Styela clava: one gene and its partners. The protein of the gene in region 3 binds, or shares a complex with, the protein of the main gene of each other region. Links are inferred from orthologs where the notes say so. Each region holds a gene or a part of one and is shown on either strand. Other genes may lie near its edges. The genes, in order: protein AAR2 homolog, ubiquitin carboxyl-terminal hydrolase 39-like, pre-mRNA-processing-splicing factor 8 and thioredoxin-like protein 4A.

The links.
Region 1: pre-mRNA-processing-splicing factor 8 (region 3) and protein AAR2 homolog share a complex: the UniProt entries of both Homo sapiens proteins name them as parts of the U5 snRNP complex. The link is inferred for Styela clava from reciprocal best matches to the Homo sapiens genes PRPF8 and AAR2.
Region 2: pre-mRNA-processing-splicing factor 8 (region 3) and ubiquitin carboxyl-terminal hydrolase 39-like share a complex: the UniProt entries of both Homo sapiens proteins name them as parts of the U4/U6-U5 tri-snRNP complex. The link is inferred for Styela clava from reciprocal best matches to the Homo sapiens genes PRPF8 and USP39.
Region 4: pre-mRNA-processing-splicing factor 8 (region 3) and thioredoxin-like protein 4A share a complex: the UniProt entries of both Homo sapiens proteins name them as parts of the U4/U6-U5 tri-snRNP complex. The link is inferred for Styela clava from reciprocal best matches to the Homo sapiens genes PRPF8 and TXNL4A.

What each region holds. Positions count from the first base shown.
Region 1 is NC_135254.1:12,007,879-12,015,063, forward strand, and holds protein AAR2 homolog, read right to left. Parts: upstream 2,187-7,185; 5' UTR 2,122-2,186; coding exon 1,021-2,121; 3' UTR 526-1,020; downstream 1-525. Other genes in the region: malonyl-CoA-acyl carrier protein transacylase, mitochondrial-like, read right to left, coding at 1-429. UniProt on the Homo sapiens protein: Component of the U5 snRNP complex that is required for spliceosome assembly and for pre-mRNA splicing.
Region 2 is NC_135257.1:18,732,641-18,740,122, forward strand, and holds ubiquitin carboxyl-terminal hydrolase 39-like, read right to left. Parts: upstream 3,019-7,482; 5' UTR 2,911-3,018; coding exon 1,288-2,910; 3' UTR 170-1,287; downstream 1-169. Other genes in the region: coiled-coil domain-containing protein 12-like, read right to left, coding at 1-97; uncharacterized protein LOC120345593, read left to right, coding at 4,318-6,309.
Region 3 is NC_135250.1:4,435,937-4,443,093, reverse strand, and holds the start of pre-mRNA-processing-splicing factor 8, read right to left. Parts: upstream 3,006-7,157; 5' UTR 2,882-3,005; coding exon 2,768-2,881; intron 2,054-2,767; coding exon 1,878-2,053; intron 1,534-1,877; coding exon 1,369-1,533; intron 361-1,368; coding exon 142-360; intron 1-141. Other genes in the region: uncharacterized protein LOC144428064, read right to left, coding at 6,879-7,064. UniProt on the Homo sapiens protein: Plays a role in pre-mRNA splicing as core component of precatalytic, catalytic and postcatalytic spliceosomal complexes, both of the predominant U2-type spliceosome and the minor U12-type spliceosome.
Region 4 is NC_135251.1:10,684,754-10,692,463, reverse strand, and holds thioredoxin-like protein 4A, read right to left. Parts: upstream 2,980-7,710; 5' UTR 2,854-2,979; coding exon 2,425-2,853; 3' UTR 502-2,424; downstream 1-501. UniProt on the Homo sapiens protein: Plays a role in pre-mRNA splicing as component of the U5 snRNP and U4/U6-U5 tri-snRNP complexes that are involved in spliceosome assembly, and as component of the precatalytic spliceosome (spliceosome B complex).

The DNA of each region.
Region 1 (7,185 bases), on a different chromosome or scaffold from region 3:
ATTTTCTAAAACTTCTGGTGTTTCAGCTTGAAGCTTTTCAACACCCGCAAGTGAGGTAACAACAACAGCAGGTTGGCAGTAGATGGTTTTATCCAACTGATTTTTAGGACCATGGATGCACAGGTCTAATAATTTGAATCCCAAAATTTCCGAAGCAACATCAAACATATCTTTGACATTTGGATATTTCAAAAGATTTTTCACCATTCCAACATACTGACTTCCTTGCCCAGGAAACAAAAGTGTCGAAGTGTTCTCGAGTTTATCAGGAATTTTCTTTGAACCTCCTGTACCTCCAAATAAATCATTTACAAGCTGTTCTTCCATCAACTTATCGTTGTTTAATTCTCCTTCTACAGCCACATTGTAGTTGCGATGGCAGAAAAAAAAACGCCTGGTCCACAATCTTGGTCTCAGAGCAAGACTCATAGTTACTCTAAAAATGTTCCTTTACTTACATTTTGAATTCAATAAAACATTTTATTTTCTCCACAATTAGTGTAGTAGTCTATATCAATTAGTATATCTAGATGGCAAAAATTGAAGAAAAATAATGTTTTTGCTTGGAAGCTGTTTGTAGGTGAAATATCCAATTATTTTGAATGGAGAATTAAGCATGATATAAGAAAAATGACATGAAACATCACAGACTATTTTAATTTGTAAGTGTGATACAACAGATGCATCACTGAGTTTCAATTTTTAATTGCCGCAATGTCAACGAGGGCAGGAAGAGATGGGGGCATTACAATTTTGTAGCCAGTTTGCTCCTCCATTCCTAGCTTTCCTTACGATGTGGAATCATTCAGTATAAACATATTTACAAATTGTAGCAAATATTTTGTTTAACAATAGTATTTTATTTTATGAAATAGGTTTGTTTTGAATCGACCTGACTCACTATGTAATTTTTGATCCCGATTGAGCTACTTTAAAATCTTAAATTTAAACAAAATTTTATGACCCATTTATATGAAAAAAGTGTAATTTCAGTTGAAATCCATCAACATAATTATATTCTTATATTTCTACAACCACAGGCGCCCAATCATCTGGCTCACTTTTAAAATTCCACTTAAATTTTTTAGTCAAATATTTTTGAAACTGTTTGCCACGTTTTTGTAGACTTGCATCAATTCCCTCAGTTTGCAGATTACTAAAAAGTATAGTTAAAGTTGAAACTAAAAAGTTATTAGAGCTAACAACATCAACAAAAAAATCCTTTGGTATTTCATTGAGTTGATGATAAAATACTGTAAGTAAACTCTCGTACAATTTTTGATGTTCTTTCAGCAAGTCATCACAAGAACATAGGACATTTACAAGGGATTTCCATTGTTCAAAAGCATCAAGCACCTGCCCTAAAACAAAACATACAAATGCAAACTGCAGTTCACCAAGCAAGTCTTCAGGTTGGGAAGAGTTTTTTATTATTTGTCCTAAAATGTATGATGAATCCACACTATGCTTTGAAATTTCATGTGGAGTTGCGTTTGGGGGATACCATTGTTTAGGTATCATTGAAAATTTTATCTCAGTCCCAGGTTTAGGTTTTAGTATAGGCAGTCCATCCTCGTCAACTGCACTTGATCTTGGCACTTTGACACTCTCTTCCGACATCTCTCTCCCACTTGGTGAAACATTGCTTTCTGAAATTAACTCGGGAACAGACTGAATTTTTCCGTTTTCGGGTTGAAGTTTAACCATAACATCATTATTAATCCAGTCTGTCAGAGACACCCATTTTTCTAAGGTGTCATATGGATAAGGCGCCAAATTTTTATCCAAGTTTTTCAGATTTTCTCTGAGTGAATTCATCTCATCAACAGACTTGTGAGAGAATTGGATTTCCTCATTATTAACATCCCAATGGCTAATAAAAATTTCCCTCTGTTTGAAAAAATGGAAGAATCCAGACCTTGGAGATGAATGGCCACCATGTTTTCCATTTGAACTATAAAAAATAAAGTGGAGGCCAGGGGGAATCATTTTAACACCTTTGAATTTGGGTCCGGTAATCCAAGAATTCCAATCCATTCCAAATTCTGTACCTTTCGGCATATCAACAAGAATTAAAAATGCACCTTCTTCAAACAGTTTTTTGGCCAAACCTTGGTCCATGATCAGGAGGTAGCACTATGATAATACTATTAAGTCTGAAAAAAAAATTGTATTTTTGGTTACCTTCAGGCAAATATATATGAACAATAACGATAATATATTTGCATCGGCGGTAAGGCGCATTATGCAGTTGTGTGATAAGGCTATATGTGAGAGGATTGCTGGACTCCTCGGCTATGAAGCGTAGTTCAGTCTGTATACCAGTATAAAAAATATCTAGATGGGAAAACAAAACATCCAGAAATTAAAAATAAACATAAGAAGAGAGTACAAATAGTTCACTATATTACATCATAGTAGAAGATCATTTAAAGTTGGTGTTGCTGCTACAGTTGCTTTAGAGGGTTTTTATATGTTACTGCTGTTGTACATGTTTTTTTAAACCGGAACAGGTTCCCTATGTGACATGCAACATTGTTTATTCGGAATTATGGTAGGTTGAATTTAATGATGACTTGTATTGCATTCAGTGAATCTGTCTTCCTGCTGTTTCTTAGTTCAGTAGTTTGTTTTTTCCAGTTTATTGCACTTAATATTTTTTAACACCAGCATTTAAATGACGTAGTAACATTGCTGGCGTACATTGCTGTTGCCGTGATATTGTTCCACTTTCTGATTCTACTAGATTGAAGTTTTGTAGCTTACTTTTTGCCCTGCCAATAATGTTTTTTGAGATAGCTATTTTTCTGACAGCTCACAGTCAGGGTTGCCATATTGGCTTTTTTAACGCCAAATTTGCCATTTTTCAAACGCGTTTGGCGTCAGAATTTCCGTTTGGTTTTTCGGCGTTTTTCAAGTCATTCTAGTTTCTATTATTAAAATCATATGAAGTAGCCTACAATATTTCAGTATACAATAGCCTATTACTGTATTACACGTACTTAGCTACTTAACATTAGGATTTCCTGGAGCATCGATTTCCTTGTTTGTTACATTATTAATGCATTAACTCTTAACCATACCCAATGAGAAATAATTGCAGTTTCTGCAGCTGCTCAGACATATGTTAAAGCAGGGTTGTAAACATTGCCTTGTTATTATAGTTTTGCGTGTTATTTGTCAGTTTTACGTTCCGTTTCCAAAAAATAGTTGTATAACTTAATTTTATTATGCCTGATATGGTTTATGTAAGCTTTAGTTTATTTCTGCAATTGCAGTAACGATGTGATTAACTTTGCTAAAATTACTGAATTAGATATCATGGGTTCACTCGTGAGCGGCATTTTTTAATAAAATTGATGGTTTATAAATTTTAAAAGTGAACAAATTTTCAATAGTAAAGTACGATATAGGGAGAATTTTTTAAGGTACCGGTATATCACAAGTTTAAGTAGAAACATGTAGGTATATTACATACTGACAGACTGAAGCAGCACCCTGTATTGTATATATTGAATGGTAAAATGATGCTGTCCGCTTGATATTTATTTTACTTTCTACAGTTCTATAGGAACTTTACTTTCTATTTATTTGCCTCACTGAATGAACTGATAGCTCTACATCACCATCACTCCATCAGTATGTTGTCAAGGGCTTAAAATCTGACAAATCATGGGGCTTTTGTACTTAGTAGATATGTTGGCTTTTTCAAATTTTGATTTGGCTTTTTTTGATCGCTGGGGTCTGGCAACCCTGCTCACAGTATGTATGTCGTATGTTGCTGACAGAAAACAAAGACACGCTTTTTAAAACAGTCAAATTTTCAGGCAGTCTCTGTTTCAGCAGTTTATGTGAATTACCAGTATATATTTAAACCTATAAAAGTGATTTTATAAAAGGAAACTTCAGAAGTGGGGCTAATGATCCAAAATAAAGAATTAGTCGCGGTCCGAATCGAATACCCGAAAGGTCCGGATTCGGACCGCGGTCCGCCAGTTGAGTAGCCCTGGTCTATGCCATTTCGACAGCCAAACAAAACGGAAACGTACCGGTACCGGTATAATCCGACTTGCAACTGACAGGAGCCAAATGGACGTTTTTGTTTTTTTGCCGTCCAGTAAACAAAGTCACGTGACCACCGTATTGTTCTGTTGGCTGTACGTATAGTATAATTAGACAACGAAATAGATCTTCAGTTATATTCCACTGTTTCAAAAGATCCGAAACGTCGCGCAATGTGGATATCATCTATTACCGGCAGCAGTACTGCTTGGTGTCAAGTCCAGAAGTCATCTCGCTTGTGTTTCAATGTTTGCGGACAGCACTTCATTGATGGTGAGTGATAATGTGCCGTTATCAATTTCCTCTAATATTCTCCCTCCCTCCCTAAAAAGTTCCCTCATTTCAATGGAAAGCAGATGACAAACTACTGTTATTGGTAGGCGTAGGCCTAGGCTACCGGTACCGGTACCGTACTTGCTGACTTGACTTGTGTAAGAAATCAATCATCAATTGCCATAAGGTATTGTTTCCCTAGTTATAGTTAGCAAGTAATCTATTGCTAAGTGTGAAGGTTGAATAGATAACTAAAGTTTAACACCAGTGGTCATGTAAAAAATAACCAGAATTCAATTGAATTCGCCATCTAGGAATAAGGTACGCTCGCCACCGCATCCCTGATCACCCTGGTAGTTTCACAGGTTCCAATCCCATGCGGGGATAATTATGTGCGAGAGGATTGCAGCTCTACCACCACACACGACCGCTGATCGGTTACGACCATCTAAGTCCATGCTTCTGAAAACAAATAACTGGCTAACTAATCCCAACATAGAATGGTAATCGTACGAGAGACTGTGGTTCGCTATATGATTTAGTTGTTGCACCTGCAATCCTCCCCTCCCAGATAAATCCTATCTTAAAGGTGCTTGTACAACTGACCCAAAATGTCTTTTTATTGTCATTGGTAAAAAAGATATGCTACCCGGATATGCTAATCAAGTTCATTTACGACTAGTGTTTGTGGTGGGATATGGACATAAATTTCACACCACTTGATCGTTAGATTTTATGAAAACTCTACAATTATTACAAAGCTAGTGCAGGATCATAATATCGAATGAATCTGTATCCATTTTCTTACAGATATGGGTGCGACCGTGGAATAGATGGATGGCAAAGTATAAGTTGCAACAAGACCACAGTGGCACAAGACCTCAGCTTGCGTGACTTGATAATACATCCTCAGTATTCCTTTATTGATGCTTATTGTAATGACAAAGTAACTTGTGGTTACTGTGGATTGGTGGAGATAAAGTGTCCATTGTGCTTGAACGAAAGCAACTTCAATACGACCCTATCAAGGAATTTTTTTTTGTTTCGGTGGGTCTGGTAGTGAAGGTTTCAGTCTAATTGGACACCGATACTACAACCAAATACAGTTGCCAATGAAACTTAGCGAGGCGTAATATTGCGACTTTGTGATCTGAAAGAAAATTCTGATGTTAAAGAATATTATGAGATTTGACTTAGAGTGTAAACTTTTATATGAGAGGGGTGTAACCCAAGCTAATTTGCAAATGGTATTCATGGTACCAAATGTATCAAACACTTTACAGTAATTATAAATTATATTTGAAAAATAAAGCACATCAAAAATGTACTTATTATTTGGTTTCTGCGAGACTAACTACTTATCCTTCTTCTATGCTTTTGTGCCGGTGGATCCGTATGCATATATTGCAAGGATGCTGTAGCAAGAGTAGAGATAACAATCCTAAGTGATTCAAGAGTCTTGCTGCACACTAACACAAATATATTTCTGTAACGTTTCGTCTGACCAAGGTCAGACTTCTTCAGACATACATAATTCAACTGAATTATGTATGTCTGAAGAAGTCTGACCTTGGTCAGACGAAACGTTACAGAAATATATTTGTGTTAGTGTGCAGCAAGACTCTTGAATCACTTAGGATCAAAAATGTATTTTTAAAAAACAATTGGTTTTATCTGCAGATACCAGGTTTATATTGAGATTGACCATTTCAATGCTAAATTTTTCTTAGTCAAAAGGCACACTTGATTTGCAAAGATTTGTGAATGCGCACAGTACACCAATTTGTCTAATGTTTTGATTCCATAGGCAGGAGGTTGTGGATCAGTGCTGCTCAGGATGGGATATTTTTGCTTATAAATGCATATTACGTGTTTCACATAAATCCATCGTGCTCAGATTCGACTGTTTTCAAGGTCTGAAGGCTTCAACTGCTTAATTTCATCGGTACACAAGAAAATTTTCAGTGTGGCATGCATGGGCTAGTTGGAGTCACTAACATCAAGATATCTATAAGCAAGGATAAGATAACCTGGAAGTAACATTCCATAATTTAGAGTAAAAAATGTATCTGCCTCCACAGCCCTTTCAAATGGAAGATATGGTGCCTTGGGGGTAATTTCTATCAAATATTTCACAGTGTTAGGGTTTTAGTGAAAATGGGTATAGGCGGCTTTTTTTAAAGTGTGGTAGGTCTATTCGAAAGACACATTAAATGTTTATGCTAACAACTGCAAAGTGATATTGCAACGCATACAAGTTAACAGAATTTGTTGAAATGGTCCTGCCTTTTGCCTTTCTCCTCTTTTTCTAACTATTCTTCTCTGGGGATGGCGAAAATTCAAATATTGATGGCTTTTATAAGCTGCTGATATTGGGTCATTTTTCTTTTATCCTGAAAAGAAATTAAACATCAGATCAGTAATAGAGTACCTGCTAACTAACGAAACAATCAGACAACACCATTCTGGCCATTGATAAAGAGTTCTTTCAATTAAAACGCAAATATGCCTACCAATGTCGGTAGTTTTTAGGATAAGATTTATCTGAGGGGGGGGGGGTTGGGGGGATTGCAAGATGCAACATCGTACGATTACCATTCTATGTCGGGATTAGTTAGCCAGTTAATTGTTTTCAGGAACATGTACTTGATGGTGGGGGATGTCGTAATCGACCAGCGGTCGTGTGAACCACCCTCAGTGGGAGAAGAGCTGCAATCCTCTCGCACATAACTATCCTTACATGGGATTGGAACCTGTGAAACTACCAGGGTGATCAGAGATGCGGTGGCGAGCGTATTCCTAGATGGCAAATTCAATTGAATTCTGGTTATTTTTTGCATGAGCACTGGC
Region 2 (7,482 bases), on a different chromosome or scaffold from region 3:
TTGAAACTGCGTCTTTATCAGCAGCTCTTTTTCTCATTGCCATCAATTTTTCTCTCCTTTTACGAGCTTGCTCTTCTAATGAACCAACGTCAGCCATTTTGTAAGTCGTATCCTGTCACCGAAGCTGTATAGGGAAGATTTAAATAATACTTTAGTATGTAGTACTGGGTCTACAAAAAAATTCAATACAATTATTACCAAATCAAAATCTAACATCAAGTGACAGCTAGAAATTTCAAAAATAAGAGCAGTATATTGAATATCCAAAAAAGCAGATTTATGCAAATTTTTTGAAAGTTTTTAAAATGGAAAGCAAACAAATGGTAAATTTTGGATAGACAATCATGTAGCCCATTGAACAGATCGTGAGTAAACAGTACATGCCATGTATAATAAAGAGATGACTATTATATTAAACAAGATTTCTGATTCGATCAATCTATTTGCTAATCGCAATTTTGCCACGTATTCTACACACTTATATATCGAGGTTGCAAACTCTTATCATGGAGAGCGTGACTACAGGCTCAGAAAACAAAAGATAATTTATATCAACCAATTCTTGATTACTTGTGATAATTATAAAGGGTGTGGTATGAAGCAAGCCAATGAGAAAATTTGTATAAATATACATATCACTGTCACCAATACCTCAAATTGGATTTCATTACCTCATTCATTTATAAGTGTTACTTAAGTTGAGGGCGCTCCAGAATTGTGTGTACCAAATAGAGGTAACTAATTTAGTTCGCCTACTTTACATCAAGTTGTGTAAAGGGATGGAAGCCTATGGGCAGGGGGTATATTAAGCCTAACCCTAATCTGGTACACACACTACGGGAGTACCGAGTTGAGTATGCCATATGAAATTAGTGCTAAAGTAGCCATCATTAGAAAGTTGAATATTAAACAAAAGCATGAGCAAGATTGAACAGTTAGCTTCCAATAATAATATTTTACAAACAAAAAACAGGTCTGGTTTATTCCATCACCTATAAGCAACTGGTCAGTTAAAGTTCCATTCAAATGTGGGTTTAGTTTACACACTATTTTATCATAGCTTTCCAAGTTGCGGAGGGGCACACTAAGGATTAGTATTTAAATTGGCCAGTCAAAGACTGTAACACTCTTTTAAAACTAAAAATTTTTTTCATGCCAATTTTGCACATCATCAATTCCCCATATAGCAATTCGACATAGCAAAGATCTAATAATTCCGAAGACTAGTAGCCAAATTGGCTAATATGAAATGCATTTGCTAAATAATCAAGCAATAATGAATGTTATTTATATTTCCATTTTGACTCCATCCGATTTTGCTTTGGCTTGCATTTCATTAGAAAATGCATATTCTTTTCCACCTTTTCTTTGGGCCCATATTTGGATGTAAGCTTCAGAGAGAGTAATCATTTGTGGCAAAATGTCGCTCACATGAAGATCTTGCATCTCATACCATTGGTTAGATCCTTGGTGGAGAATATAAACACGATATGTGCCTTTCCCAATGTTCGGGTCGCCATCATGCACAATATTTGCAACCAGATCATAACATGTGTCTTTAATATCTGCATCAGCAGCGACAAATTCCGCGAGATCGATATTTTTGACGGGAAAATTAACAATTGTAGGATTTTTCTCTATGAAGAATAGATTTTTCGTGAATCGTTTGATGTAGAAAATTAAAAACGGAGGGAGACGTGTAAGCTCAAACTTTTTCATGGTGAAATCTCGTTTTCCTTTGTATTCTTTCTCAGTGAGGCCGTTAAATTTTGCAAGAAGGTTAAATAACGGAACTTGTGGGATAATATTTTGTTCCTGTTCGTCCTTGTAGAGAGGGGCAGCAAGTAGGTCTAATGTGAGATATAAAAACGGTGATTTTTGCATTGTTTCTTGGTATTCTGGCAGATCTAACAGTTTCACTTTTTCTTCTTCTGGTAGTTCAGGGTTAGGAACTTTTCTTGAATAAATTTTCATTTCTCCCTGGAAAGTTTCAGTGATGATGCTGGAACTCTTCTTCTTGGTTCCATTTAGGGCAACATGTAAAGAATTCAAAAACCAAGCAAGTAATTCAAGAGGATCACCTTGTACAGTGATTTGGAATCGTTTACGAGAGCAGAGCACAATGCTCTGCAGCATCTCGTGTGGTGACACATGGGCTTTGAAATTACGAGGATTCCATAATTTACGAATCAATTCTCCAAATCTTTGAGTTAAAAGAATCATGATGTCACCAGGTGGCCGTTTAATATGAGAGTAATTCTCTTCTCTCAAAAAATAATCCCTCAATGGAGGGATGTTTGACAACGCTTGTAAAACAACGTTACAATAATCATTCGCTTTGATGTTATTGAGCCCGACTATTCCTGGCAAGTACGTTGTGCTATCGTAAGCTCTACTAAGTTTGGAACTTGTGCTTAATTCAGCGATATGATTCTTTTTAAAAGTAGGGTTAAGAACATAAGTAATATCTTCAAGTGATGAATCTAAAATTTCATAGTTATCAGGGAGGCAGTAAAATTTCAGAGTCCTCAGATTCAAAAATACATGATGATTTATCTCAACACTGTGAGTGTAGGCATGAGATTTTTTGCCCCTTCCTTGAAAATATTTTCCGCAAACGAGACAAGCATAAACGTTCAAATGAGAGAGAGACACTGAGCACAATTTTTCGAAATCAAAATCTAAAACACTGCGTTTAATTGTATCTAAATACGGGCAGCTTCGACTTCTATCAATCTTTGGTTCGTCATCATACCTGTATTCTTCTTCAGACGAATATTCTTCAACCAAAGCTAATATTTTTTGTTCTGGAGCTTCTTGTTTAATTTCACTGTCTGAAATTTTTCGTTTTTTTGCGGGTTCAGAGTTCTCTTCCGAATCCACTTCGTTTTTAATACTTTTTATATCCATGATTAGACCTTCAAAATATACAGATTGTAGAAAAATACAACGCTCAGCGAATAATTTTCCCCACAAAATGCAGCATGAACGAAAATTGAACGTCGGTGTCACGTGTCAAAAAAACTACGCTTGGCTGATTCCGATAGGAAATAAGTTCAAATCTTACGAAAATGATATATTTTAAAAGAATTCAACAACACAACTTCATTATCAAATATTTATAATTCTAAACAACAAAACTTGATGCTAAAAAAACACTCAAATCTTTCGAACTTGAGCACGAAACCACATTAATATTAAAAGATGTTTTCTGGTTAACTCGGGAATTCCCCTTGTAGTAAACTTTTTAAAATGCACTCCTTATTTTCGAATATTTTTGGAAGGAAAAGATGCAAAGGCAAGGTTATTTTTCTAATATTTGTATCAAAAGATAGTAGTTCTAACTAAAATGAACATTGGAAGATTGATGTTGAAACGCAGCTACCCGCAGATAAAGTCGTTACGCAGTATTTTGATACCAGGACACGGTATTGGGATGTTGCAGTAGGATAGGATAGGATTTACATATTTATCCCGGGGGAGAGGAAAGCCGATAAGACGGCTTATCCATATGGCGAACCACGGCCTCTCGTCCGGTTACCATTCCAAGTCGGGTATGGGATTAGATTTACTGTATTGTTTGTTTTTGGAAGCATGGACTTGGTGGTGGAGGAAGCCGTAACCGACCAGCGGTTACGTGAACCACCCAACGACGGCGAGGAGTCCAGCAATCCTCTCGCACATAACCATCCCTGCATGGGATTCGAACCTGCGAACCCACGCAGAGTAGTTAGAGGTGCGGTGGCGAGCGTATTCCTAACGCTTAGCCCGTTGAGCCACACCGCCGCGCCGATTACTCAACAATAATTATCCTAGATATGTGTGAAAAATCAGCCACATAGAATTTCCGCAATTGGGTTGAATAGATATTTTCAATGAGTAATAAGAATTATATTTAAATGTAGAATGAATTAAATGCTCAGGAACATGAAATATGTCTAAATGTGATGCGAAAATTGTATTAAGAAATGCAATACCTACCTACCTTACGCAATACATATGTAATTTTATAGAACGCTTTTGATATGTCTGTATGTGTAAATAATACAAAATTGTTTTGAACTCATATCGTACTAAAGGGATATCGACTTTTTCTAATTCTGATTCCTATTTGTACTTTTACTAGGTTTAAATTGGAAATATGTGATTGGGACACCTTATTGGTTTGCTTCTCATTGGAATAATTACAGTAAATAGGAAAATCATATCCTAATCTAATCTTCAATTTATATTATTTTTATCATGTATTTTTCTAATCATCTTTTCCATGTATGTACTGGTAATCAAACCAAAAGCTGTGTGCTATGTGGTTGAGCCATGTTACAGTGTTATCATCTTCACTCTTCTAACTGTCTAAATGTAAATGAAAATCTTTTCTATCATATATGTCTTTGTTTTTTATGGCCAGTGATTCACTCTGTTATCTTGAGTACTACACTTTCAAATCCCATGATGCTGTGCATATTGCTTGTGGCGGGCCATGGTGCCAAGTTGGAAGAAGACATTAAAAATGATACAACTGGAAAATACAGCAATTTGATTGGTATTCCTAAAGCTTTGTTACCGGGAGTGGACGGGAAACTAATTATGGATTACTGGTGGAAGGTGGTCAATGTACGACAGATATTTAGTGAGGTTTATTTGGTTACAAATGCGGATAAATACAAGCATTTTGAAAGATGGGCAACAGCAAATGATTTTCCTGTTGAAAATATAGTTAATGACGGTTCTACGACACCAGATACAAAGCTCGGAGCTGTTGGTGATTTTGAATTGGTTTTGAGGAATAAAAACGTTGATGATGATGTCATGGTTGTCGCTGGCGATATGCTTTTTGAAGACCAGAATTTCGATATTTCACAAGTAGTGAGATATTTTCACTACAAAGCTGGCGACCTTGCAATTTATTATGAAATGGAACAAAATGAAGCTACAACTTCTCGTGGAATTGTTGAAGTTGATGTAACAACGAATAAAATTTTGCATTTTCATGAAAAACCAGAGCCTGGAGTCACTAATTCACGTTTGGCAAGTGTTGTCTTTTACTGTCTCAGAAAATCTACTTTGGCTACGGTTTCGTCATACCTGCAAGAATACCCAGGGAATGGCACTCGTACATTTGGCAAGTATATGTCATGGCTTATCAATGATAAAAAATACGATGTTTATGGCATGAAATTACCGACTCGTTTTCAACTGATTGGACAAGTGTCACTCACTGATTATCAAGCAAGACTCGATTATTTTAGCGACTTAAAACGACAGCATGCTCGTAAGAGACTTATTACAAGTCGTGCTTATGCTAGGATCGGTTTGATGGGAAATCCGAGCGACGGTTTTTATGGGAAAACAATTTCACTTTCGATATCAAACTTTTGGGCTGATGTTACTATTATGGAGAGTGAAAAACTAGTTTTGACCCCCCACCCTTTAAATGACCCTACGACCTTTGGAAGTTTGCAGGATTTACATGGAATCAGCAGAAAAGAGGGATATCTTGGAGGTTTGAGGCTTCTACAGGCGACATGCAAAAAATTTTACGAGTACTGCAATGACAAAGGGATTGCGTTGTATAAAAAGAATTTCACTTTGAGTTATGACACGAACATTCCCAGACAAGTTGGGCTGGCAGGAAGTAGTGCAATTGTCACAGCAACGTTGAAATGTTTAATGCAATTCTATAACCTCAGTGAAACAGACCTGCCTAAACCGGTTCGGGCCAGTTTTATCCTGAATGTGGAAACTGATGAATTGTTCATCAATGCTGGATTACAAGATCGTGTTGTACAAGTCTACGAAGGTTTGATGTACATGGATTTCAGCAAAGATCTTTTAGAAGGTCGTGGATATGGTAATTACGAGCGTTTACCAGCTAACGACCTTCCTCACATATGGGTTGCGTATTTATCTGATCCAAGTGATTCTGGAAAGATTCATAGCAATGTACGACAACGTTATGATGCCGGTGATACAGAAGTTTGTGAAGCGATGCAGAAATTTGCGGAATACACAGAGAAAGCAAAATCTGCAATTTTAGAATCAGATTGGAGGAAAGTAGCTGAACTAATGAACGCAAATTTCGATTTACGACAACAAATCTACACAGAGAGTTGCCTCGGTGAAGCAAATTTGAAGATGATACAACTCGGACGAGAGTACGGCTCTTCCACTAAGTTTCCAGGAAGCGGGGGTGCAGTGATAGGAATGTGTTTTGATTTAAACAAGTTATCGGACGTCAAACAAGCAATGCAGTCACAAGGTTTTGTTGTCTGTGAAGTTGTTCCCAATCTCGGCAATCAAGCGGAATGAATGGCAGCCCAATATCCCCTTCTATGGAGGAGGCTTTGAAATGGCAGTTTGAACCAAATATAACAATCTCTAGGCTACACTCAACTATATCGATAATCAAGTCTCTCTGTGTGTAGTCTCTGTAATCAAGTGGTGTTATCAATTCAAAATCTGTGAGCTTTTTTTTTTATTAGATGTATACTCTAAATAAAACACCACCCAAGCATATGCTTTTTTGTACAAACCTATCTTTTAATTAATTTATAATAATCCGGTTTTGACAGTGGTCATGAGTTGACCTAGTTTTATCATCAAGTGTTCTTTTTTCTATATATCTTATGGAAGTATTGATTCGAAAAACTTAAAATTGAATCATCTGTCAATATTTTTGATTGTGAATATTTTTCATTAAGTAATTGCGTTTTCAAAATAGTTTTAATTGTTGTTACTAATGTTGCAGAAGAGTTTTTCACAATATCACACACTTACATGTAATATCCCTGTGATTTAGATATTATAATATTAATATGCGGTGGCCTAGTGGTTAAAGCGACATAACTGTCTTTGCATTGCAGGTTATACATCTTCGGTTCAAATCCCATGTCTTCCCAAGATGTAATAAATTGGATAGACAATGCTGAATCAGAAATATTTTGGTCTTTCCGAAAATATTTGCTCCATACTTTAGATATCAGTGGAAGCTTTGTGCATTGCCTTGTTCAGAGCAAAATGCATGGATAAGTATCATAAATGATTGTAGCCATTTTTTTTAAAGATGAAAGTTAATAAGTGCCATCTGTAATCAGCATAATTTTTTAATTCATACCCAATTGTAGCATACGGTATTTCTGTAATTGTATTTCAATACCCACATACAAGTGTCTCTTTGTATATTATATTTGACTTTTATAATTTGGTAATCAACATTTAAGCTGTTGCTTACATGAAAGGATATAAGCCATGAACCTGCAATCTTTGTGTTAATATAAATGTATATTCAACAAATGCCAATAACTAAAGTATACAATTAGTCCCATAACACACCAACAAAATTAACTTTATTAATAATTATAATTCCACTCAAGTTTCTTACCATCTCTGTGATGATAGCATAGTTTATTACTATAAATGTATATTCAACAAAATAATTACAATAACTAAACTATATAGTTAGTCTTATACCATATCAATAGA
Region 3 (7,157 bases):
TTAATTATCATGATTTCCCTCATAAAATTTGATTGTAAGACTGAATTTCAGAGTATCAAGATATTCGTATACAGACATCCCTAAAATGGAAAAAATACTTCAGTTTTAGGTAAAGAAATTCTACTATATAAATATCCTTACTTGGGTTCATCCTGCAATGGTTTATTATCATAAAACCACTCAGAAACAGAGGAATCTTCTTCCGGATCCAGTTCAAGCTGGATAGCTTCAAGAGGATCAACATCCAGCACGTTATCTGCGTAATCAAGAGGAGGTTCCTCATCATCAAAAGGAGGAAATCTCATCCTCTTGAAATGACGACGATCACGTTTTTCGCGACGCATCATAATCCACATTGAACTAGAAGATACAGAAAAATAGTTAGACGGTATAATACACTGATTATGTGTTACCACAGTGGTTCCCAATAGGTGCACAAGTTGCCTAGTGCACTGCAAAAATTAAAAGAATTATATCAAACATAACTAAAATATGATTGAATATTGACGATCACAAAATTGAGTTTTATTTTAAAGCACTTTCTTTTTTCACATGTGAGTGCGCCGTGAGTTTTTTCCCTGATAAGTTGCCGCCACACGAACAAAAAGTTTGGGAACCGCAGTGTAACCCGACAATATTTTTTATTACTATGACCAGTCTAAATGCAAAATTTATATGAAGCTTGAAAAATGTTTATATTCGAGCAAAGCACCACTTATTTTGCTTGCTTGATAAGCTTACTTCATTCAAACTGTCTAAAGTCTAAAATACATTTAACATTGAGGCAATCCAAATGTTTCAATCCATAAAGTTATTGAAACCGATAACTACACAGCTGATCACACTTATTATTACTGGTAAAAAGAATTGGTTTCAATGAAAAAAATAATAATCAAGTAATTATTTAGGCATCACGCATCAGTAATTTTCACACACATATAGATTGGCCCAAAAAATAGAACTCATAATTTTTTTTAACAAATCCTACGAGAATGAAGAATATTTATTCAGCACCTAAGTTCGGAGTATGATTGTACCCAAAAGTTTTAGTAATCTGGAAAGCTTTTCAAAAAAGTTACGGCCTCTCGAGAATATGTTCCCTATCAGCTGGGTTCCGTTTTTTTTTCTTTTGGAGGGAGGCACAGTACAACGCTAATATTGACAACAATTACTAATTTAATAACTCCTGCATAAAGTATACTGGTAATAACAAAATATCTATTGCTTATTTTAAAATAAACTAATATTTCAGATACCTAATGCATTTTCCTCATTATACATATTTATAAATAAGTTTTTTTTCTGTATTAATATAACAATTTCCACTAAACAAACTTGTTTTATTTAATTTTCATATCACAATCTTACCCCCATTGAGCGATATAAGCTGGCTCAATGACCCATGGAATCTCATTGACAAAAGTAATAGCTCCAGTGATGTGATAAATGACGGAAACATCCCGAATCTGTTCCCAAGGCATTGGCATGTTCTCAAGTAGTTTTAGAACAGCATGAGGCATGTACTTCAGAGCCCTGGATTGATAAGAAAAAAATTATCAGAAAATGTATAAGTTATTTAATAAGAAACTGAATTCTTCAGACTATGAGAATATAATACGCTGGAACCATCAAAAAGTTATATTCTGAATCAGAGATGGCAAAAATTAAAGAATGCAGTATTTTAAATACCGTAATTTTCAAAACAAAGTATTTTTACATATCAGGTATCGAGTACATTCCAGTGCAACAAACATAAATTGAATTTTATAATTACAAGACGAAAAATTGAAAAATAAAGAAAGAAACATTCACTTTCAATTAACACTGACTGGCAACTTATATATTAAAACCATCAGTATAAAAACAAATATTTTTACCCCAAATAAACTCTTTTATCATGGCGAAATTTCCTGTTTGTCATATCTCCATGATCCTTCACAATTTTCCTGACATGTTCTGGTGGCATGTCTTCCTTTTGTGGGTCGACAAATCCAAACTTTCTTTTCTCTGCGTAACGTTTTGATTGCAATTGTTGCCATTTTCTAGCTTTTTCCTAGAACCAATAAACAGACATTATTTTTTATATGATATATTATTGTTTATGCTACAAACAAGGCTTTGCACAGGCAGATAACCGGGTAAGAAACTATTATAAATTGGAATCTACTTTGTTTGGGGTTGCACTGTTCATTACACTCTCATCAATAATTTTTTTACAGATTTTTCAATTCCAAATTTTGTTCCAACAAAATACTTATAACAACCTGGATATAAGGGATGGGCATTTTGAATTGAATATTCGAGTCTAAACGAATATTAATTTATTCGAATCGGTTCAGACGAAAATTTCGAAACTCCGTCATCTTGTTATTTTAGTGAATTGCTCAATTTTTTTATTGAAGCCATGTTTTCGAAATGTAATTCTGACATATGACTTTATTCTTCCTATTGAGTTATTGATGAAACATGTTCCCTATTGTATGTGACTGCAGGACTGACCGAGTGTTGGGTTCTATATCTTCCATTACAATAAAAATATAACATGCAATTAAGTCGTTGTATTATACCTCAGTCGTTGTATTAAGTAGGTATCCAAAATTCACCTCCAAAAAAAAAAATTGAATCGATTTTGAAATCATCAAATACGCTAAAATGCTCAGTCATAGTGGTCATGTTACAATATATTGATCATGAAACTTCATCTTGCATAACTGAAGTATTCCCTTCAGTAAAAATCATAAAAAATTCAAGTAAAAACACAACCAACCTGTAATCGTTCCTCACTGAGTCCACCAGCAGGAGGGGGAGGTTGTGATATTCCAGGTGGCATACCAGGTGGTGGCATACCTGGTGGAGGTTGCATTCCATATTGAAACGCCATGCTGGTTCAAGTTGTGAGCAACGCTCTACAAACTTGTGACAGCCCGAGTGAAACTAGCTACCTACGAGCAAGTTTCCATAAACTTTTATACTTACAGCTTTCTAATACAAAAATTGTAGAAGTTATTAGAAGTACTGGGAAGCAAGGGCCATAAGGGTCTGGTATAGTTTAGTACCACATGCACTTCTAGTTGACCTGAATCGACAATTTTTGCATATGTCAATCCTCAATCCCATTTTACAGATGATCAGACACACCTCCTTTGGGAGACGTCTGGACATTGTTGTACCTCAATATCGATAATAAAACAGTATAATGAATTTGCGCAAAATACTACAAAAAAGCACAATCTAGTAACGTCATCATTGTTATCCTTGGGAAAAAATAATCCGATTTACCGAAGGAAAAAAATTTTATTCGAACGTTTTTAGCAAAAAACGGCAATTTTGGTCATGTGACGGCTGCGATTAATTATTATTGAGATAAGCATGGCGCGATATGAAGCATCCGACGTGGTCCCAGATGCCCCTCATTTGTGAGACACATAGAGTGTTTGTTTCATTGAGCCAAATGGAGGGTAATTCTTGGAATTTGGATTGTGTGCTGTACTGCCTGACTACGTCACCAAAAGTTACGTCACTACGACGCCACAGTGGCGTAATAAAGACCTCCAGCAATCCCGATATGCGAGAGAACACGGGTGTTAGTGAGTTCGTTATCGTCGATGCAGATGCCCTTTCGAGTGATCGTACAGTCGTAGCTATACTTTGGCAAGATCTATGACTGTATGATGTGATTGTGACGTCGTTGGGAATAAAGTTTTAGAAGACATAGTCAGGTAGGGGTTAGGAAGAACATATGCAAAATTCGTTATGCTACGTCAACCAGAAGTACTTGTGGTACTAAACTATATTAGACCCGTAATTTTTGGATGACGCGGTCAGGTGGGGGTTAGAAATGGCATATGCAATAATTGTGGAGCCAGGCCAACTAGAAGTCAGACATGTGATAGACTACCCAGTCTGGTTTTCATGGCCTTTTTGAACGAGAAATCGGGCGTGCAATCAGAAATTCCTGCGTGCAAATAAGAATCCCTGGCGTGCAATTATCAGAGCCATTATATAATGGCTCTGCAATTATAGCTCACGGCGTGCAAAACAACTGCGCCCGCGTGCAACTGACTTTGACATTAGATACCTCTCGATACATCACCGTCCGGTATCGGATAAAAAATACGTTGAATCAGAGCAAAAATGGACGTTTGACCTTTAACCCCAAACATTTTTTCTACAGTTTGTCGCTAATTTTGAGAGTGTTTGTGCGATATTGGATACCGGTAGTGTTCAGTACATCCGCGTAAAATTATTGAATAAAAAATACGTTGAACCAGAGAAAAATGGACATACTTTGTCATTAATTTTGGGAGTGTTTTTACGTAGAATTAATAAAAATACATCAAATTAGAGCAAAATTGGACGTTTGACCATTGACCCCAAACAGTATTTTTATACTCCGTCACTAATTTTGAGAGTGTTTGTTCGACTTTAAATACCGGTACTGTTCAGTACATTCGTGTAAAATTATTGTATGAAAAATACGCTAAATCAGAGCCGTACCTGGCCAGCGTTGGTGCGGAGGCGATCTTTTCGTCCATAACTATTCTCACGGGATTCCTATCATTCAACACGATATGGTCTTTTTTGCTTCGCATTTTTCGATCAGACCAAATTTTGCAAGCTAGTATTAGTCGACAATTGTGGAGTTATACTATTTTGGCATCTTTATATTACTGGATTATTGATTTTAAAACAATTTAAACCGATTTACATTGGTGAGCAATTGCAAATTTTCGGCGTGCAAAATTGAATTCGCTCGCGTGCATTTTCGCGGAGCGCTAGCGCCCTCGGGCGTGCACCTGCCATGGATTCCAGTCTGGTCAACCAGAAGTACTTGTGGTACTAAACTATATTAGACCCGTAATTTTTGGATGACGCAGTCAGGTGGGGGTTAGAAATGGCATATGCAATAATTGTGGAGCCAGGCCAACTAGAAGTCAGACATGTGATAGACTACTAAACTATACCAGACCCGAATTTTGTTTTGTAGTTTAGGTACGGGTACCGTAGTCCTGTAGCTGTGTAGGCTAGTTTGAATTTCAAAATACAATATTCTGATATTGCTGTTTTTAATGTGATTTAAGATTATGATGAGATACTTTGTTAAATTCATAAGATACCGTATAATTATGGCCTATGTCTGTATGTAGTCTACAGTGGATAGGTGAATGTTCACGTTTTCTTGTTTTTCCCAAAATAAAATCGGAAAATTTAACATCCTATTGTCCTACATTCTGACATTGCACACGGTTGAATATAGCCTACTTATAACTTCTGGTACCCGTACATTTAAACCCACGACAATTGCACCTGCATACTATTGCATCAGGGATTTTTTTTTGCGGATATTCTGGATATTTGAACCCATACTAACCATCCCAATGGGTTTTACAGTTTTAGCAGACGCATATAGATTGAACCCGCGGATATTCTTATGGGTTCAAATGTACGGTCACCATAACTTCTACCGCAAAGGATAAAAATACAATTAGTCTAGCCTGTCTCCCATCGAAATAATACTGTTCTATTCTCAGATTCTGGGGAAGTAAAACATGAAAACGCGTAAAAACTGAATCAATCAACACGCCGACGCTGAAACGCAAGACGTACGTTTTATAAAATGTGCAAATGCACTCGCGCGTGTCAAAGTTAGGTCACGTGGTATATTTTCATTCACTTTTGGACACGTAGTGGACATAACGATCGTTTCAAAATTTTGTTGTTATTGTTATTATTTGTCTCAAGCAACACGTTTTGAATAAATCGCTTTTCTCTTCGTATACTGGACCAATTGCTTTGAAATTTTCAGTGGTTAAAGTTAAAAAAAATTTTCGCTATGACGTCATCAAAATTTTATGTCCATATATTTGAGCATAGCTCTCTTGTTCATCGTGTAGTGTACTGAATGTCGGAAGAAAGATAAATATAAAATTTTTCCGGAGAATATAATAGCCAATGAGGCATCAAATAAAAATAAACTAATGTACAGATTGTTGATCTTTGCAAACTAACTAAAATTACTTTTTATGTACATTTAGTTTAGGGGGTATGATTTGGTTTCTGCGAAACTAACTACTTATCCCTCTTCTATGCTTTTGTGTCGGTGGATCCGTATGCATATAATGCAAGAATGCTGTAGCAAGCGTGATAATAACTAACTTATCTGATTCAAAACTCTTAAATTACGGGGTAAGTTGTATATTTTTATTGTTGCAGTGATTGTTTTTCTGTTTTCTGGCTAAACACCTCATTTTCCCTCTCTCTTAGAGAATACAAAAAAATCGGTTACCTTAACCACCCTATGGCGACGAGAAATCCTTTCGCACATAATTATTCCAAGGGATTCCAACCTGCGAACCCACGCGGAGTAAATTTAAAAACTAAGCGACCTGACAGTCGCATAATCTTTTTCTGAGTTAGTATTTCCTTAATAACCAAATCAAGACATTGTCGTATTATTACTATTGTACTAGTTCATGTTTTGTTAGTAGTCATCTTCCTGTGTGAATTTTATTCACATCAAAGAATATGGTGGATGCTGACCTCCATGTATGATCGTATCGCTCCCTCCTGACCATAACAAAACAATTTTATTGCGGTTGCTATTTTATTGATGACTGTATTTTTTGGTTGACAAATTGATAAAACTCATTCTGCCACTCGAGCGGTAGCGCAAGAAATGTAGCCTACACATTTGACTTTTTAGATATGATGTTTATTGCCTTAAATTTTCAAGAAAAATATTCTAGAAAAAGCAAAAGCAAAGAAAACGGAAAAGTAGTTGGTCTTGTAGAAACCCAATCGATAGCACAAAATATTCTAGTTTTGAATATACTTTATTAATATGCACAACATCAATTTCGACAGAAAGTTCATACAATTCATGGGCGGGATTTAGGGATTTTATCCCCTAACAGATTGGCCAAAAATTGGCCATCTCTTTTAACTTGAATCCAAACTGAATAGTCCTGGTTTTTCTGCAAGTTGTTTATGGTAGCTGACATGGTAGATCCAGCTTCAGCACAGCCTAGAATTGGTCCATCATAAGCTTTCTTATCCGCCATCATCTAGAAACATAAAATAGAGTGGTGTCAAATATATGAACAATAAAAATTACCCAAACAACAACAGCAAGACTATAGCAAATTGATCCATATGCA
Region 4 (7,710 bases), on a different chromosome or scaffold from region 3:
ACTTGTATTAATTATCAATATTAATTGTATGAATATCACTGCATATAAACACTCTATCTCAGTGATTCTCAAACGGTGGGGCGCGCCACACAAGGAGGACGTAGACAATTTTTTGAGAGGACGTGAAGCCAAATAAAAATATTACTTAGATTTGATCTTGCCCGCCTTATTTTGTATATTTAAATTTCAAAACTTTCCATTTATTTCATTATTTAAGTTCCATCCAAGTATTTTTTGAATAAAACATACTTTCGCCTTACTATCTGTTATTTGTAGCTTATTGTTAGCTAGCTATTTTTTGAGGTGGGGCGCGAGATGTGACAAATTCTGAACCACTGTTCTAACGCTTTGCCTAAGTATTACATATGTTCTCACTCAGAATTTCATTTGCTCACTTAACCCTAAGTCATGACAGTGAGATAGGTGTAGCAAAATGGAACACCACATTTTCAGACACCACTAAATGACCACTTGTTACAAAAATCACAAAAAACATCAATGTCAAGTACATAGACTGGTGTAAAGTGGTATTTATTTTACAAAATTGCAAGTGGATGATGCATAAATAGAAAAGAGCAGTATTGTAGTAGCTCGATTCATTGACTCGAGTCACCCTATAAGAGCGAGAGATTTATTATTTAGTCAATCGAAAAATAGAGGCCCAATTGGCACAGTTCTGTTTCAAGTCACCATATAACAGCGAGAGAGAGAATATTATTTTGTCCAAAAAATACAGTCATCAATAAGATAGCAACAGCAATAAAATTGTTTTGGTATGGACAGGAGGGAGTGATATGCCCATACGGTCATAGAGGTCAGCTTTCACCTGAACAGTGATTAAAGTCATTCGAAATAAATGATTCGTCCCAAACTTCCAACTAACCATCAGTGAAACATAGCTCAGTGATCGACTCAGATGACCCATGACCTGCAACTCGAAGTTTTGGGACTTTCTTCCAACACTGGTGGTAAGAGTGAGTTGTGTGTGTTCAACAAAATATCAGTGTTGAATGAGACAATATATAAACTTTATATCCAACCAAAAAAATAGCATGGACATCATATTCAAAACAAGAAATAAATTTTAATCGCATCATACATAATTCACACATTGACTCAGTCGAATTCTACTGTGAGGTTCTTAATTAGCATATGCAAATAAATAACTTTTTCGAGATTAGGCATTTCGACCGGTTTGTTACCCTGTCCGGTTTGTTACCCTAGGAGTCATTCCAGAGTCAGAAACCTATGCCTTTACCTAATGTTTCTACATAAATTTAAAATATAAACATATGAAAAAATTGGGTTTCATAAGCACAGAAATTCAGCAGAAACAGAAAATAAACTAGTCAGTAATCAAATATACCGCCCAAAACCTTTCTGATGAAACAAGGATGATGCCACATTTTAAATTATACTAAGTAAAAGTGAATATTCGATGAATTCAGAATTTATATGTTCAGAGTAGGTAGTAGTTATCTTAAAAATATTCTCCAATTTAAATTCTGAATGGCTATTTCATAATCAATTCAAATTGCTAATAAAGAATTGAAACTAATAAACATTTTTATAGTTTATCCCACTGCCCACGTTTCTGAATATGGATGAATTTACCTTAATATCATAAATATTATATTGAAATCTGTCAGAATAGACGATCACTTAGTTACAAGTAATTCAAATATGAACATTCATGATGACAGATTTTTTAATACTGACAACTTCGACAATCCGAAATATGAGAATAATCACAAAATGCCAAACATATCTTTGCAGAAATATTCATTCATTCACCTGGTATGTGATTTTACTTCATTTGCATTCTTAAAATTAAGTTTTTTGAACATACATTTCATATACATATTATTGAGACATTTTGCCACAGTTTATTTTTGTAGAATCTTAGAGATACCAGAGACATCAATTAAATAAATTTGAAAACGAAATTTGGAACCCTTTTCTGGGGTGAACACAAACATAATGTTTGAACAACAGATATAATATTGACAGTTTGTCTTGACAACTCTTGACATTTTCAATACCTGGCAAAAGGCCAAACTTATCGTCGCAGATTACTGTAAGTTTGACTGATTTTACGCCCTTTGCTATTGGGAATAAACAATACTTGCGCGGAAAAAAATTAAAAAAAATAATAGAACATGTACCTTAATAAAGTGCCTTAAAAAAACATGAATGCTTTGGCAAAACACAATACTCCTGTCCCATGTGAAAATAATTTGTCAAAATTAGGCAATTTGTGGCAGCCTACTCTAAGAGACACTGGTAGAAAACCATACTTTTGTGAAATATGTAGAAATAGATTTTGGTGTAGTCCCTCACACATATTAAAACAAAGCTATTTTTTAATATATTCCGTTCACATATAAGTATTCTTGAGCTCGCTTTGAAACAATTTAAAAGAAATTAATATCTGTATTTTGTTGAATAATCTTTAGGAGAAACGACAAGACCTCTGCCTTTCCTTGCTCCTCTGTAAACAGTTTCCAAAATGTCGATCATTTCTCGTTTATCTTCCATAGGCCAATTAATTTTATTATTATTACCGGTTCCCAAATCAATCATAATGTGTTTATTTCTATAGAAAAACATAGTCGTACAAGGGTCGTACAATTCATACATTTTGTTGAAGTCCGGTACTTTTGTGATATCCACTAAATAACAAACGGCGAAGTTTTTGACTTTGTCAGCGATGCTGTATAACGTTTCATCCATCTTCATGCAGGCTGGATCCCAATCATGCCCGAATCTAATGACAACAACTCTCTCTTGTTCACTCAAGATTGCCTGGTCTACTTGCCAACCATTTGTTAAATGAGGAAGCATATAAGACATATTGCTCGAAGTTTTTTACGCTTGGAGGTCCAGAAAATTTAACTATGCAGTTCAGAGACACAAAAATGATGAATTTCTTTATATTTGCTCTGCTTTTTATTGATATTAAACTAGAAAAACCTAGGAAGAAACAAAAATATGCATTGCCTAAAAAAAGGAATAACGGAAACGCATAGAATGTCTCAAGCTTCAAATCTGATACCGGTACCTACTCCTGTATTATAGAATCTGTGTTCTGCAAAACATGATATATCTGCCTATTGAATAATGCCAATTTAATTTATCAAAATTTTTAACAATGACAGTACCGTACCGGTACTGCAGTTTGCACTACCGGTAACCAAATACAAACCACACCCTATCAAAATGAGAGAGAATATCGCACCAAGAATCTTGTCTAGCTAAAAAATGATTAAAATTACAAATTGCAGAGTAGGCAGACATTTCATCAATTATCATACAGTCATACCAGTTCACCAGTATTAGTTTCCTTACCGGTACACAAAAGATAACAGGCAGAAGTTACGACGTATCTAAAACGTTCTGAATTTTTTAGTCCATCCAATATCGTCACTCGGGGTCGCCATTTGTTTCATACGGGCGAGCGCAGTATTTTCTCTTTGGTGTCATTATTCTCTGTGGTGTCATCCTAAAACCAGAACTTGTGAAATCAAGTATTCTTCTAGGCACATCGTTTTTTAACGTATTTTTCTACCAAAGTTTGAGTTTTATTTGTATTCGAATAAATGTTCACATATAGGGACATGTAAAATTCGGCCAATAACTGATTTTTCGCTCCGACTATTGCCATATTATTCCATGATTAATTTTCGACATAACTTTTTATGCGTTGCTTTCAGAATGAAATATGTTAGTTCAAGCCGATATCTTGGTTTCCATAAAACAAAGGGAAATACTATTACACAATTTATGGTTAATCATTCACCCGTTTTTTCAGTAATTAAAATATTGCTAGAATATGGCAATGCTGAGTACAGAATCAGCCACTCGTGAAATTTAAGACACATCATAAAAAAAACTATTTCACAATGTTTAATAATGAGATTATACAAATTTGGTATAATTGAATCCACAACTTATATTAAAAAACGAACACTATTGTGACTCGTCAAGTTTGGCAATTGCCTGCTTCGCCATGGAAGTTGTCATAATTTTTAGGTATATTTTTCGTCATATCTTTTATATGTTGCCTTCTCAATGAAATATTCTTCGTACGTGTATACCATGACTGAGATTATAAAAAAAATCCGCTTTCACTATGAAGGAATTTCCATTAACCATAAGTAATCTAGTCGCATTTCAATTTGATCGCCAGCTGCCGCTTTTCGACCGGGCCTATCTTGGTTTTCTCGTTCTTTCCAGTTCTTTGGAAATAGCCGTAGTGTAGGCGCAGTTAATGTCTTTTGCGACAAAATCATGGGCACTAACCACTAGTTTACGATCAATCATTTTATTTCATCCTCGTGGCATGAATTAAAACAACACAAATCGAACTTTCGAAGCCGAGTTTTTGCCTACCGTTTTATCTCAGGCTGTTCTAACTATCGGATTCAGTTATTCAACAAGCAGTCAGCATCAACTTTAGACAAATTACCAGACAAAATGAAGCGTTGTATCGTAATTGTTAAGATCGTCCTAAATGAAGTCCACAAAGTAATCGACACCGCCTATCTATTTTCTTGACCGTGTTGACTTGAACTGCGTCCCGCGCCAGCGCGCATTCACTGACCACCATACCTCCAAAGCTCCTGGTCGCCCGTTTCTTTGAATATTTAATGGACGAAATACCAATGATACCGCAATCTTTATGGCAAAAGAAGTTAAAATTGGGTTTCTTTTGTACAAAGACCCCAACAAAAATCACCCCCACCAACGATTAAAATAAGGAAATTAGTAATTATCCGCTGGGGGTTTGGGTTAGGAATGCAAATTACCCAGGAAATTTAGATATTCGAATCAATTCTGACCCCAACCTCCATATCATATTATTCACACGTTGCGGGGGATTTACTCAAATCTCACATTTTTGCATTAGTGGCCGGGGCTTTGTAAAAATGATTCAAGATTAGTTCGATGGTTATTTTAATATTACCAAACGCTTCATAACATTACAGTCCGTTAATATGATGATATTTATTTGAATTTTTAAATGAAACGTTTTGCAGTTTTGTACACTATGTAAAAATAAATTATTAGACATTGGGAAACCACAGAAAGCACTAATGTCTGGTAATGCAAATGTTTTGCCTTGTAATACTCGACGATCGAAGAATTCCTCGAAAGAAGCAAAAAAGTTCACGTAGGCACCATAAATACGGAAAAATGGTTTAAAAACCGGGCCTAGATTCGTATCCTGACTCGTCACACGATCAAGTCGTTCCATCGGTTTTCATCTCCACCGTGATAAATATTTAAAAAAAAAATCGAAACAAAGAATGCAAAAGAATTGTCGTATAACTAATTACTCAACATCTCACATATTGACCAGAAATAAAAGATAGACAATGGATAAACAATAGTACGCTTATCCTACGCGTTTCAGCTAACAGCAACTAAATTAAAAGGGTTATGACTGTTCCGTGAGTCTTGACTGAAATGTATCCGGATCTTAACAAGATGATGGAACTGTACTTAACCATCTGCTTCATTGGACTTTCAACGCGATTGGAAAAAAATAACATTTTAATTTTTCGTGGATTTATAGTGGAAGTTCGGTAGTGGGCTCTGCTATAAAGACTGTCAAAGACAAACAAACTTGACCCCAATAAAATTCAATTTGCGCGGCGTTGTGGGTTATGCTCATTTAACAACAGAAACGATATCTTGCACACTAAAAACAAAAAGAGAAAAATGATCATAACTTTTGTTTTGTGCTACCCGCGACATTTAAAAATAATTTTTATACCTATACGCTATTTTAGACAATGCAAAAATTTCGCGTGCTCACGATACGCATTATGCGCAGTTTACCACCGGAAACGACATATCACGTAAAGATGAAAAACAGTTAATTGCGCGCGCAATGTGCTCATTTATAGATTGTCTATTTCAGACGAACCGTATTAAAATTTGCGCAATAAATTTATTCACGATCATGATTAAAAAACCCGATGTATGTTCAATCAAATTTTCATTCTACTCAAATAAATTGTATTTTTCGGGATTGTAGTCGAGAAGCTTTTGTAAATTAATCTAGTCGCGCGTTGACTTTGAATGCAATTATTACGACTTCTAAAAGTTTTATAATTTGCGCAACAGAAAAATCAACAGCTGCTGAAAAATACAGATCTTTCAGTTACTGGTGAATTCCTGGCAATTATTTTAAAAACCGTTGTAGGGGAATTTTCGAACCGTAGAATGGGAACTTTCGAGCGACCATGGGCGTTAAAAGAGAACAAGAGAGTGAGGCCAAAATCAAATCTTCCACAGTTCCGGACAGAGGCTTTCCATCTTCGACTGATCAGTGATGACCAGATCGCGAAAGCGGAACCGCCACAAAATGTTTTAATTTTGATGGCGTTATCACACAAAAATTCATAAAGCCCACAGACATTTTTTAAATAATAAAAGTAATAGAGTTTTAGTGACAACAACAATCTTTGACCACTGAAAATTTCAAAGCAATCGGTCCAGTAGTTGAAGAGAAAATCGAAATTGTCACAATAACAAGGAAAAGAATAGTAACAACGACAAAACAATCCATAGATCCACTTCATGTCCAATAACACAAAGCAACAAGTCGTTACTGCTGACTGTCTGTTTATATGAGACTTGCGAAACATAGCCTCATTGAAACCATGCAACATAATCATTCTACTCGGCTTTTTCAAAAGTGAAATATTTAACTAGTGTATAAAGTGTGGTGGGGTTTATAGCGTTTCTTTTGGAGGTACTCCCGTAGTGTGTGTACCAGGTTAGGGTTAGATCATACTTTTATTCCGATTTTCCTTACTTTAGTTCTATTACGAGTTCGGGGACTGTCTGTGTTAGCAAAGTGAATATACCTCCACCCATGGGTTTCAGCCCCTTCACACAACTTGATGTAAAATAGGCGAACAAAATTAATTATCTTCATATTGGTACACACGCTTCTGGAGCGTTTCTTTTTGTGCATTTCCCAATCTAATTAATCGAGGCTGGACTAAATTATAACGCGGACGCCCACCTCAATATTTAATTATCGAATATGAAATGAAACACGTTCTTGAACAAAAGACTGATTAACTCAATTGTTTAGGTCATAACGCTATTCAATAAAATGTCTATGACAAAAGAATGGTGTAAACGTAGATGACAGCAGTAGCGTTGTTTGGCGCGAACAATTCCACGCCCGATGACAAGTATTTGATATTTGTGTAAATATGAGGCATAAAGTGATGAGACCAGCTGAAAAGGATTTGCTAGAGGCACAGCAGGTACTATAGACTGCCTGTCAAATATTCGTTGATAGAAAATGGATATTACGTTTGGGGATATAAATTTGCTATCGTGTATTATACTCGGGTTCTCAGCTGGGGTAAACGCCCTATGGTCAGTATATTTGAACTACATTGGTTAGGGGTTTATTGTTGCAGATATGAAAGTATTCAATTAAAGGCGCTAGTGTAATTTATTTGTGCTTGGTTTAATTTAATCCCGAGTATGTTTCTTTGAATTTAATTGAGATCTCTAGAAGTATGTGCACCAAGATGGCGCACAACCTGAACCTTAACCTGGTACACATAAAACGTTCAGGTTGTGCGCCATCTTGGTGCACATACTTCTAGAATCTAGAGGTCTCAATTAAATTAGAAACATACTCGGAATAAAATTGAATAAAGCAAAAATAAATGACAC